Linked DNA regions of Cricetulus griseus. The protein of the gene in region 2 interacts with the protein of the main gene of each other region in a pairwise test. Links are inferred from orthologs where the notes say so. Each region holds a gene or a part of one and is shown on either strand. Other genes may lie near its edges.

Evidence for each region.
Region 1: the proteins of Arl15 (region 2) and Pde6d interact in binary tests that used the Homo sapiens proteins (3 or more experiments, as listed by UniProt). The link is inferred for Cricetulus griseus from reciprocal best matches to the Homo sapiens genes ARL15 and PDE6D.
Region 3: the proteins of Arl15 (region 2) and Unc119 interact in binary tests that used the Homo sapiens proteins (3 or more experiments, as listed by UniProt). The link is inferred for Cricetulus griseus from reciprocal best matches to the Homo sapiens genes ARL15 and UNC119.

What each region holds. Positions count from the first base shown.
Region 1 is NC_048595.1:438,252,404-438,256,569, reverse strand, and holds the start of Pde6d (retinal rod rhodopsin-sensitive cGMP 3',5'-cyclic phosphodiesterase subunit delta), read left to right. Parts: upstream 1-1,357; 5' UTR 1,358-1,525; coding exon 1,526-1,575; intron 1,576-4,166. UniProt on the Homo sapiens protein: Promotes the release of prenylated target proteins from cellular membranes. Modulates the activity of prenylated or palmitoylated Ras family members by regulating their subcellular location.
Region 2 is NC_048595.1:331,975,094-331,978,703, forward strand, and holds part of Arl15 (ADP-ribosylation factor-like protein 15), read left to right. Parts: intron 1-3,354; coding exon 3,355-3,507; 3' UTR 3,508-3,610.
Region 3 is NC_048600.1:91,729,208-91,733,570, forward strand, and holds the start of Unc119 (protein unc-119 homolog A), read left to right. Parts: upstream 1-1,502; 5' UTR 1,503-1,616; coding exon 1,617-1,836; intron 1,837-2,651; exon of another isoform or gene 2,652-2,775; coding exon of another isoform or gene 2,776-2,782; intron 2,783-4,363. Other genes in the region: Pigs (GPI transamidase component PIG-S), read left to right, coding at 1-97. UniProt on the Homo sapiens protein: Involved in synaptic functions in photoreceptor cells, the signal transduction in immune cells as a Src family kinase activator, endosome recycling, the uptake of bacteria and endocytosis, protein trafficking in sensory neurons and as lipid-binding chaperone with specificity for a diverse subset of myristoylated proteins.

The DNA.
Region 1 (4,166 bases), about 110 Mb from region 2:
TGACACATATCTTTCACTTAACTCAGTACCTTAAACCCCCCAAAAAAAAATTTTAAAAAGGTTTGCTGAATCACTTGAAAGGAAAAAAATGGGTGGGTGCTCAAATGGATATGGTGGCAACAGAAATAGGAAGATGGCCTAGGGAAAGACATAGCCATCTTTAAAGAAACAGAGGTTAAAATAACTTTACCTACTTTCTGGAAAAAAATCATATTAAATGTCAACTTGAATGACAAAAAAAGCAAATCAAAATAGCAAGACCTATTAGACTGAGGATATCACACTATCACACCATAGTTCTGTTCAGGAAATCCACCAAATAAATGCTTACCTATTCTCTAGGTGTTTCAACACTAGTTGGGAAAACTGTCATTAAAAAGAAAAACAATCACATTGTCATGCTGCTAAAAATATCGCCTCCCTAGCTAGGGTAGTGCAAAGCGAATACATTGCAGGTCAGTAGACTTAAAGCCAAATTCTGTCTCAACTTGCTGTGATCTGTGGCCAGTCTATGCCTCTCCGGTCCTCAATTTCCTCATATTTAAAAACTAAAGATAAAAGTGATTGGGCTGGCAAATTCTTTTAAGTCTTCCTATACTGACATTGGGTATACAATCCTTAGCTCTCCCAGCCCGAAGCTGAAACACAACATAAACCCTGCAAAACACATAAAACTGCACTCCAGGCTAATAAATTAGTACTATTTGAGGAAGTCATTTTGTTCTATTATCTTTCAAGGCTTAATCCGTGGTTTTGTTAGTTGTTTGCAGTCTTACCATGGTTTGCAGACTTCTGAGTTCCGTGTAAACAGAAGTTAACTGTCGGCGGGCTGTCATGTCTCCAGGGAGAATGAGGACCTTCCCGCCGGGTTTCAAGTAACGGGATTCAGAAACGAATCCTACAGAAGGATTCCAAATTTGCGCACCCTGCGCGGCACACTGGAGCCCAAGTTAGAAAGACGGAGCGCAGATTGTGCTGGGATTTGTAGTCCCTGGCTTCTAAGTGGCGAGCTGGGATTCCGTACTCCCTGGGAGCCTGGGAAATGTAGTTTCTGCCACTTTGCACAGAGCAGCCTGCCATAGTCTCAGACCGCAAGTGTGCCCGGCGACGGGAGCAGGCTCCTCAAACCTCTGAAGATTTCCAGCCACTGCTCTCCGCTGGGACAAACTCCAGGCAACAACACGAATGAAAATTCTGTCCTCCGGGACTCCTCCTGGAGGGCCTTTCCCACTGACGCTCTCTGTCCCCGAGCGAAGCCGCTGAGCGTTGCCATTGGCTGCTCGGAATGCCAATCGTCAAGGCTGGCTTGCCATTGGTTTCAGGGCGGGAGCTCCTCGACTAGAGGGAAGGAGAAGGGATCAGGAGCGGGAGCTGAGGGGAGGGAGAGGCCGGTTCGGGTCTGGCCGCTACCGCTGCTCGCCTGAGGTGTCCGGCCCGGCAGCAGCTCCGTCCTCAGTTCCTGGGTACCGTCAGCGAGGCCCCGCCGAGCCAGCGTGGGAGGGCCGCAGGCGGCAGGCGCCGCATCATGTCAGCCAAGGACGAGCGGGCCAGGGATATCCTGAGAGGCTTCAAACTGTATCCGCCCGGGAGCAGGGGCGGGGCCGGGAGGACTTGGGAGGAGGCCGGGGCTTGCAGGAGCCGGGCAGTGGCGGGGCGCCAGGTGGGCACCGGGAAGAAGGGCTGTGAGCGGGGGCTGGAAAGGAACGGCGTGCCGGGCCCCCGGGAGGGACCGCGAACGGGAGGCGGGCACAGGGACGCCCTGAGGGAGGAAGGGGACGTTGACGGAGCCTCAGGGGACGGAACCGGAGGAGCCCCGGGACTGGCTGCCAGAGTTGTAGGCATCAAAAGCCGGTGTCCTGTGGGGCTGGTCCGGACCAGAAGGCTGGGGAGGCGGGGGTCGTGGTCCGCAGGTTGAGGCCGAGGGGGTGCGTCGGGCTGGCCTCCTAACCTGCTTTGGAGCATCTTTGGCGGGAAGCCCATGAGGGAGCAGGGGAAAGTGACTCCAAGCAAGTGACCTTGTGTGAGATAACTGGACATGTTCTTGGGTACCTCATCTCACTCCACCACCAACACCCGTCTTGTTTCCACAACTTCTCTTCCTCACTTGTGGCTTCTTGTAGGGCTGGAGTAGTGGGAAGGTGGGGAAAGAGAAATATAAGACCAACCCCACCTTAACACTTTCTTGGCCTTTGAGGCATTGGATGGTCCCTTTTCTCCTCAGCCTCTCAAGTTATCTTTCCAGCATGATCGTGTGTGTGAGAGATGTCTTGAGGTACTTTGGTTTTGAACTGACTCCTAGCAAAACTATCTTTGTTCCTTGGCATTGCTTCGGTTAATGCTTTATCACAGGGGAGCTGTTCACAGTTAACTTCTGTTGAGGACACCATGTCATATAAGAAATCATTGCCTCGGTGGACTTGGTGCCCAATGCCTGTTTTCCCAGTACTTGGGAGATAGAAGCAGGAGGATCAGAAATTCAGGTCATCCTCGGCTTCATAGTTCGAGGCCAGCCTGAGTTCCTGAAGACCCTCCTTCAAAAAGGAAGAAAAGTGAGGAGGCAGAGAAAATAAACAATTACCTCAGGCCTGTTGTAGTTGTAGTGCGACATTTGCAACCTCTGTATATAGTAAGAAAGGTTTGCAGTGTTTGTTTCGTTTTGGAGACAGGGTCACAGTGTGTAACTTGGCTGACCCAGAACTCTGTGTGTAGACCGGGCTAGCCTCAAGTAGCGATCCACCTGCCTCTGTCTCCGAAGTGCTAGGATTCAGAGTGTGGGCCAGCACCTCCGACTAGAAGCTCTGTATTTTGGTGGAATATTTGCCACCATAAAATGCAAATAGAGTGTATTGTAGTTTTGCCTTCTGCTGACCTTGATCTCTGCTTACATTCCTTCCATCAGTATGGAATACTCATAAGTTCCTCCCTCCGTGCAGTGTACCCATCTCTTACTGAGCCCCTTCTTCCATGAAGGGTTAGGAAGCACTGTTCTCTGAGCAACCTGTTGCATCTTCACAGGACCTGTTTCACCTCTTCCAGGATTTAATTGCTTTGTCATAGTTAGAAACCAAGGATGGTCGGGCATGGTGGCGAATGCTTTTAATCCCAGCACTTGGGAAGCAGAGGCAGGCAGATTTCTGTGAGTTCAAGGCCAACCTGGTCTACAAAGAGAGTTACAGGAAGACAGATGGGCTACACAGAAAAACCATATCTCAGAAAAAAAGGGGGGGAACCAAGGGTGATAGTAAAATTTAGAAAGCTTGGCAAGGCATGATAGATCATACTTATAATTCCCACACTTGGTGACTGGAGCAGGAAATTGTCATGAATTCAAGACCAGTCTAAGCTACAGAATGAGAGACCCTAAGACCAAAAAAAGAAAAAGGACCATAACAAACAAACAAAAAAAAAACCCCACATGTCTAAGAGTGGTGGGGGAGTGGACTGGAAGTATAAACAAGGTCTTGGGTTTCTGTAGCACCAGGGAGAGAAAAGCAACACAGGAAGTTCTATGTGCAAAAATGAAAACACTTCAAGTGCAAAACTAATCTTCTGAGGTTTTGATGGTTTGGTCTTAAGGGCAAGCAAGCCGAGTGTATGAGAAGAAAAGAAACCGTTCCCTGTGGCTGGGAGGGGACTGGAAAATGAGTTGCCCTGCTATGCTGTTTAAAAACAGAAGGCCTTACATATTGCCATTCATGATAAATGCTCAATGATTTTAGATCATGAAGTTTAGTAACAGACCCTTTTATAGTTCCATGGATGTTTCTGTTTGTCTTTATAATAGGGCCCATAAGCAGATGTGGATAGCTGAAGTGTAGAAAAGCTATATAGCATGCTGCCACTACCACCACACCCCACTCAGACTTCTGCTTTCATTTTTTTAAAAGATAATTTTATGTTAGAAACAACTTGACCACTGGCCTCCCTTTGTTGGATTTTTTTTTTCTGAACTGTTTTCAGATTGTTTCTGGAAAAGTTTTTGTGCTTACCACTTATCTTACTTTTCTGTTGCTGTGATGAGACACTGAACAATGGAACTTAGAGAAAAAGTATTGGGACTTACAGTTTCAGAGGGTTAGAGGCTACAGGTAAGTAGGCGTGGTAGAGCTGACATCTGATCCCCAAATATTAGGCAGAGAAAGATAACTGGGAACGTTGAAAGTTTT
Region 2 (3,610 bases):
GCCTTCGCTTCGCCCTGCTTGTTGCTTCGCGGTAGTCATGTTTAGAAGCACTAGATGGATAGTGAAAGCTGTGTTCTGGCAGCAGAGAAACTGACGGTATTCAGCATCTGGGGATTGCAATCCTGTTTTAAAATTGATATTATAATTGTGTGGAATCCTTCGAATACCCAGCTGGGTGACTGTGGCAGGGTTAGATACCCAATTAGGTTACTAAAATCTCAAGTTACTTGGCCATATTTGTCAGCTTAACACTGCCAGTTCCTCTGCCTGCTGACCATCCTGCTGCCTTTGCAGCTCCCATTTCCTTGTTTAGGATTCGATGAGACCTACCTTTAGACATTTATTCTCTTCCAAGTGTTTACATGAGAAGCACACTAGAACTCACTAAATTCTATGTCTGTCAGTAATGCAAAATATGACTAGCTACTTGGCAATCATTAATTAAACCCAATGTTTTCAAATTAGTTTGAATTCTGCTGTTAGGATTATTCTGTGTATTGTTTTGTTTTGTTTTTTGCTTTGTTTTTCTTTTTGAGACAGGGTCTCATATGTAGTCCTGGCTGGCCTGGAACTCACTATGGAGAACAGTCTGGCCTCAAATCAGATTTGCCTGCCTCAGATTTATGAGTGCTGGGATTGAAGGTGTCTACCACCATGCCCGGTTGATTCTGTGCAATTTTTAAATGAACTGCTAAGAAGAAATCTTTCTAATGAGATAGATACATTTGCCTACTTACTGGTTTTATATTACTGAATTCTTCATGACCAGTGCTTTTTCCTATTATCATTATTATTAATTATTATTATTATTATTATTATTTGTTGTTGTTGTTGTTGTTGTTTTTCAAGATAGGGTTTCTCTTTGTAGCTTTGGCTGTCCTAGAACTCACTCTGTAAACCATGATAGCCTCGAACTCAGAGATGTATCTGCCTCTGCCTCTGCCTCTGCCTCTGCCTCTGCCTCTGCCTCTGCCTCTGCCTCTGCCTCCTACTGCTGGGATTAAAGGTGTCCGCCACCACTACCCGGCTCCAATTAGTATTATTTAAAATGCTACCCTTTTGAATTAAGGTTCTAAAATGTCAGTGGCACAGCTTACGTCATGTACCAGAATTTGTATATTACCCATTGATCATCATCTGGTGGGAAGCATTACTGATCAAATACTGGATTGCATTATAAGCATGGCAGGCCCAATTTCTGGAATTGTTGGTAGAATCTAAAATGGGAAAAAGGAGACAAACAGCCTTGGTTTACACCCTTTGGGGAAACCTTTTCCTAGCTGTAGCATTTAACATATTCCCTCCCTGTACCTTCTGCTGCTCTTCACCTTCCTGCTAACCAAGGGCTCTCCCTGTGAGCTCTGTCTGCCCTCTGCCTCTCGAAGTGATGGTTATTACACAAAGGTACTTTAGGTTTTCTTAGAGGTAAACTGTTTTCAGTATTCAATGAAGAAAAAAAGAAACTAGGAGAATGGAATTGAGGTGGGAAGGTTCTTGTTTGGTTTGGTGTTTTGGGGTGTTGTGGGTTTTTTTTGCTTGTTTTTTAATTTTCATATATGACTGCATATATGTTATATGCACATACAAGCTTACATGTGTGTGTGGAACTGGTGACGGGACCAAGTCTGACATTGGCAATCTCTCTCAGCCATTCTCCAGCTTATTTACTGAGGCAGGATTTTGCAGTTGAAGCCAGGACTAACAGATTCAGCTTGACTAGCTAGCCAGCATGCTCTATGGGTCCCCTTTGTTAGTCTTCTGAGGATGCTGAAATTATAAGCTACCCCACCCAACCAGCATTTACATGGATCCTGGGGACCCAAATGCTGGTCCTCACACATTACAGCCAGCACTTTACTGTTTAGCCATCTCCACAGCCCTCACATGTGTATTCTTAAAAAGCAAGTATCTTCTTTAAATAATTTGTGCAGTGATTTGGATGAAAAATTGTCCTGGCCTATTTTCTGAGCCATCTTTTTCTGATCTATGGATGAAATAAATTGTCATTACTCTTCAGAATTCAAATCAAGAGGGACCTTCAATTCTTATAGCTTTTTTTTTTTAAAGAATGAAAAAGGCATTTATTGTCAATCTGAAATATGTATAAGAGGGTGTGTGTGTGTTTAGATAGTATCTCACTATGCATCCCTGACTGGCCTCGAACTCATAGAGATCCTCCTGCCTCTGCCTCCCAAGTGCTGGGATTAAAGACGTGGGATACCATGGTTAGCTGAATAGAGATATTCATGAAATATAAAATCTTAGCATTATTTTCAGCTCTAAATTGTACAGCATTTGGTATTTCTGAGTCAAACATGATACACACCTGAAATTCCAATACTTTGGGGTCAGAGGCAGGAGGATTATCCACAAGTTTGAGGAGTTCTGGAACAGTCAGGGCTACCTACTGAGACCCTGTTTCAAAAAGCAAAAACAAACAAAAGATATCCCCTTGCTGGGGTAAGCTGGTGTGGACAGCGTGGTTTTGCTGGTAACAGTCTGGCCTTTGTGATGGCAGAATGGAACATTCGGGAGTGGCATATGGTTTTCAGAAAATCTTCCTTGGTGATAAGTACAGAGTTTTACTTTGGCCCACTGTATGTGAATGAGTGAGGAGCTGGAAGAACTCTTTATCCCATCCCCTAAGAGCAAAGCTGGTACTTGTGTAAGCCCTAGCTGTGCGAAACTGATTTAGTCAGGGATTCTATCTTTCCCTCCCAGAAAGTCCAGGACTGGGGGGGGGGGAGAGAGAAGAAAACCTGAGAGACTCTATGCATATTTATAAATCTGATAATTTATCTTGACCCATATGGGCAGGCAGCCTTGAGCACTGTACCTTTAGCTCCTGTTCTTTCTTCTAGAAGATCCTTTCCTGGCTCTCATAAAGGATCCGCTAGAAATTCAAGGTAGTGAGAGGATAAGATCGCCAACATTGGTTTCTTTCTGGATTGTCTTGTGTGGTTGATAGGATCCGTACTTTGTCAGGGTAAGACAGCAAATGTTGCATGGCTAACAGTGGCTAGAGCAAGTAGAATCTTTTGGGTGTTCTTTTGTGATTCTCCCTGCCCTGTAGTACATATAATTCTTTCTCAGACTTCATAAGAACTCCTCAGCAGTTGAGTGTAAAGTCAGAATGGTGGCTCATAAGCAGGTCACCCTCGCCCAAAGAAAACACTCCCAGGTCACAACATACAACCCTGTTAAAGCAACAGCTGTGGACAGACTGGAGCGCCTGGACATGACTGTTCATATAAATTTGGCTCAATACCCCCCACTTCATCACTTAGTATCTTATAGGGAAAAAACAGTCCTGATGCAATTACTAACATCTCTCTTTTTTTTTTTTCTCTTTAGATCAAAAAATATTTTGAACTTGAACCACTTGCACGTGGAAAACGCTGGATTCTGCAGCCCTGTTCGCTAGATGACATGAACGCACTGAAAGACAGCTTCTCCCAGCTCATAAACTTGTTAGAAGAAAAAGACCTGGAGGCAGTGAGAATGTGAAATTTGACACAAAAGTTCCCCCAAAGCCTTGAACCCATCATGTTAGTTTCCCATTCTAATTTCATGTTGGTGTCAAGGTTGTCATGGCTTCAGTATGTTTTCC
Region 3 (4,363 bases), on a different chromosome or scaffold from region 2:
ACTTTTCCTGCCTATGGCTGTGCCCATCCTCCTGTCTCTGGTCAAGATCTTTCTGGAAACTCACAAGTCCTGGAAAAAGCCTGAGAAGGTAGACTGAGCTGGGTGGCATGTCAGAGGTAGACTTCTTGTCTGGCCAAGCTAGGAGTGTTGGGCCAAGACACCAAAGTGAGGTTTGATGGTTTGTCTTCATTCTTCTCTGTTGGCTCTCCACCAACCAAAGGATGATGCTCAACGATGGACTCATCCTCCCTTCCCTCCCTATCCCACTGGCTTGAACTTAAAGGCCTTTGCCTGTCTACCCCTGGGCAGTGGCACCTTGTCCTTCCAGCCTGTCAGCACAGCATACTATGGCACTGAGGGGTCGATTTAGGGGAAATCCTTGGGTTAAATTGTAGCCCCCTCCTCTCCACTTCTAAGACTTTCTCCCTCCTTCCTCTCCTTCCTGACTGGTATCACCCATTGGGTACAGCCTAGCCTGGTCTAGGAGGCAGTGGCTTAGGAACTGGTTCCCCTCTACCCTTTCAGAGAGGCAGTGTGGTATAGGAGGAAACACTTCTGACTTAGAATCCAATAGGCCTGGATTGGACCCCTGCTGCACTGAGGTACTGGAGAGCTTTAGATAAGCAGCGCTTCTCACTGAGCCACAGGTTTTCATCTGTCGGAAAGCATTAATGACGTCACTCTCAGAAGGGCATTGGATTAAATGTGATAAGCATATAAAAGTGTTGTGTATATTGGGCTCTTTAAAAATATGTATTAGGTTGTTAATAAACATTGGTTGAATATGAGTTGATATGACATATCATTATTTTCACTCATGTGTGAGAAGCAGTCTGATCTGCCCTGAGCTCACAGGTCTTCCATGTCCCACCTGACTGTGGAGTCTGGGAATGGCTAGACACCTGGGCTGTGATATTTGCATGTTGTAGGGTGCCTAAAGCTGTGAATATATGCTTCTGCTTTTGAGCAGGAATTCTAGGGAGGAATAGCTTGAGCCAGTGACAGCCCTGGGATATTAACTCATCAGTTCAACAAAGGGAAATCCTGGGTACTGGCTGCCAGGAGCACTGTGCTAGCACTGGGATGTTATAGAGAACAGAGTATAGAGTATGGTTGCTTTCATAGATCTGACCTTTGAGGAGCAAAGGTCAGGGCACAAATACAAATAATTTTGCCTAATGCATTAGAAAAAAAAACAACAGGCTGGTTAGCTGGAAACTGAGAGGAAGTACTTTAGAACTGGGTGGGTGTGGGAGGTTGAGACTTGAACTGGAATCAGTTCAAGGATGGAGCTATCAGGGAAAGACCTTGAGGCTGGAACCCAGAGAGAAAGAGAGGTATTCAGTATACCTTACATTGTCCAAAAGAACCGTGAAGTTCAAGAGGACCCCAGGATCCTGACTCTACCGGAGGGGGTGGGGGGGGCGGAGGGGGGGAGATGCCAGTCGGTGGGCGGGGCATGCATGACGCGCCCGCTATGGGCGTGGACAAGGCGGGACGGCACCTGGGGCCCGACCGGGGGTGGGGCGGCGGACTCTTCCCCCTTCCCCCGACTCCAGCCAGCTCAGGCAGCAGACGCGGTAGCAGCAGGCGAGGATCCGCCGCCCCGCGAGGCCATGAAGGTGAAGAAGGGCGGCGGCGGGACCGGGACGGGGGCGGAGCCCGCTCCAGGGGCCTCGAACCGGAGTGTGGAACCCACGCGGGAGCCTAGGGCAGAATCCGAGTCCGGGTCCGAGTCGGAGCCAGAACCAGGCCCGGGGCCCAGGGTGGGACCGCTGCAGGGCAAGCAGCCCATCGGGCCGGACGACGTGCTGGGGCTGCAGCGGATTACGGGCGGTGAGCACCGGCAAGGGAGCGCCACCCGCGGGCTGGAGGGAGAGCTCGGGAGGGGGCCCACGAGGCTCAGAGTCCGGCCCCCGCGCTCACCCTTCCCCCACGCAGTGCCCCTCCTCTGTGTCCCTTTACTCTCCCTTTGCCTCCAAGCCTGAGATTTCTGTTATTTTCCTTGGTGTCTTGGTGCGCCCCTCCTCTACATGTAGTAGGGCTTATTTTCACCTCCCTCCTTCCTTTTCAAGGGGCCCACCCCTTTTCCCATGGTAGAGGTGGGGCAGCAGTTGCATCTGAACCCTTTCCCCTGTGGACTCTTTGAAGCTGGTCACAGAGGAGTGTGCCGGACTGGCAGTCTCTTAAGCACCTATCCTCTGGCGAGGTGGAGTCGAGGAATACCTCCAGGGTCCCTCACCCTGCTTCCCCATTAGGGCTAGCGCCATACTCTTCCCAGGAACGTTACTGATCGGGTGCTTCAGTCTGTTGGCTTGTGGGCTGTGTCATGGAAACAAGTGTGTGATCCCAAGCCTGGACTGGCTGGTACTTGTTTTTTTAACCAGGGCTCTCTCATCAATGGAAGCCCATTTTCCACTGGAGCTGTTTCCAAGCTGTGCTGCCTGGACTAGAGTCCCACTTTTGCCCCATAATTGGTTGTGTGACCTTGGGGATGTAATTTCATTTCCAGAGGCATGTTTTTTCATCTGTAAAATGGGAACAATGTTACCTCCCTCAAGGTTATTGTGAAATAAAGCCTGTCTCCTGCTTTTCGACAATGCTTGGCATGCTATGCATGCTATGTCAACAGGGCTTTTTTATCAACACAGGACTTGGTTCAGAGCAGCTGTCTGCAGGCAGATAAGTGAGCATTCAGGGCAGAGGCAGGCGTCACTACAGATGGTGAACAGGACTAGAGAGTCTTCTGGCAGAAGGTTGGCTGAGCCTTGAGGAATGGAAGGTATTTGGAGAGAAAGTGGCACACTGCCTTGGAATGGGTGGGTCACCAGCAACCTGCTCCAGCTCCCTTTGTGAGCTAGCAGTCCCTTTCTATGGGATGGACACAAGTGCTAGAGTGGAACCTAAAGCCTGGATGGATCTGCAGGAGCAGCAGAGCTGAGGGCTCCCAGACAGCTGTGGAGACCAGGATGGCAGGCCTGAGCTTGTGCATCTGGGTCCCTAGGGGCCTCCCTCCTCCGTTCAGAGCTAGGCAGCAGCGGCAGATTCTTGGCTAGACCTCCCTTGGACAAGCAGGCATCAGTGGAGGGGGGAGGGGCCTGGACCAGGCTGGTGTGGAAGCCAGTGGGCTGCATTTTGTAACAGCAGCCCATACAGTTCAATTTAGCCCTATGGGTGGGGGGCAGGATCACCTGCCTCACTCCTGGATAACTGAAGGCTTATTTTGCAACGAAGGAAGCCTCCAGGTGAAGTCACAGCATGGGTCTCCCAGTCTGGAGGGAATTCATAGCTTGTAGAGGTTGAGCAAGGACAAGTGCCTTGTGAGAGCCCTTTCCTGTGTGGGATTTGAAAACAGGGTTCCAGGCCTCTCCACCTTGCCTGCTATCTTCTGACCCTAATCACATAGGTCTGAGGTTTGCTGTTCCTGGATTACCAGGCCCTGAATCCGGCTTAGGGAGCTATTTGTGGCTACAGGGAGAGCAATTGGCTTCTGAGCCATTACTCTGGACTGACCTTGGGTCCTAGGCCTCTTGTTTTGCAGAGGGGAGAGAGTGGCTGCAGTGTCCTGAGCCCTAGGCAGCCCCTGACCCTCACTCCCTGCTAGGGCAGAGGGGCTGACAGATTGAGTTTTCAGTGTAAGAGACTAAGGTCTGGGTGTGAGAAGTTGTTCCCAGGGAGAGGAGAGGCTCCCAAGCTGGACACAGGGTAAAAAGGGAGGTTTTTCCTGGGAGTTGGGCAGCTAGGATCCTGCTTCCAGGTTCTGCCCACCCTCCCTTCCCTCTGCAGCATCTTCTATAGCTGTGGGGCAGACCTTACTGAGCTGTGATGGATAGGTCAGAGCTCAGCACCCTCTAAAATTTTATATAGTTTCTGCCAAGCTCCAAGGTGCTAGAGGGCTGTCAGGAGGGCTTCCTGGAGGGGGCTGCCCTAGGGAAGAGAGAATGACTTTGTATTCACTTCCTCTTCCAACCACAAGAGGAATAGGAGGTGGCCCAGGGGTGACTTCCGGCCTCTGTAGGTCAGCAGGGAGGATGTGGTACCTTAACAGCACCCAAGCCTCCCTAGCATTTTCTGCTCCTTCCTGTTTCTTGCCAGGGCTTCCCCTAGGACTTGCTATTGCTGCCATGAGAACAGTAAGTTGTATGAAGCAGGAAGAACAGGAGTTCAAGGCTAGCATCTGCCACCTAGTGGGTTTGAGGGTTAGCCTAGGCTACATGAGACCCCCGGCTTAGGAATAGCAACAACTGAAGAGAGGTTAGGGTCAGACCATGAACTCCCTAGGCAATGCCTAGCTTTCCTGGTTTCCTTCTGAGCCCAGGACTCTCCTTGCCTCATTCATATCCTGCTGCTCCAACCACACTCT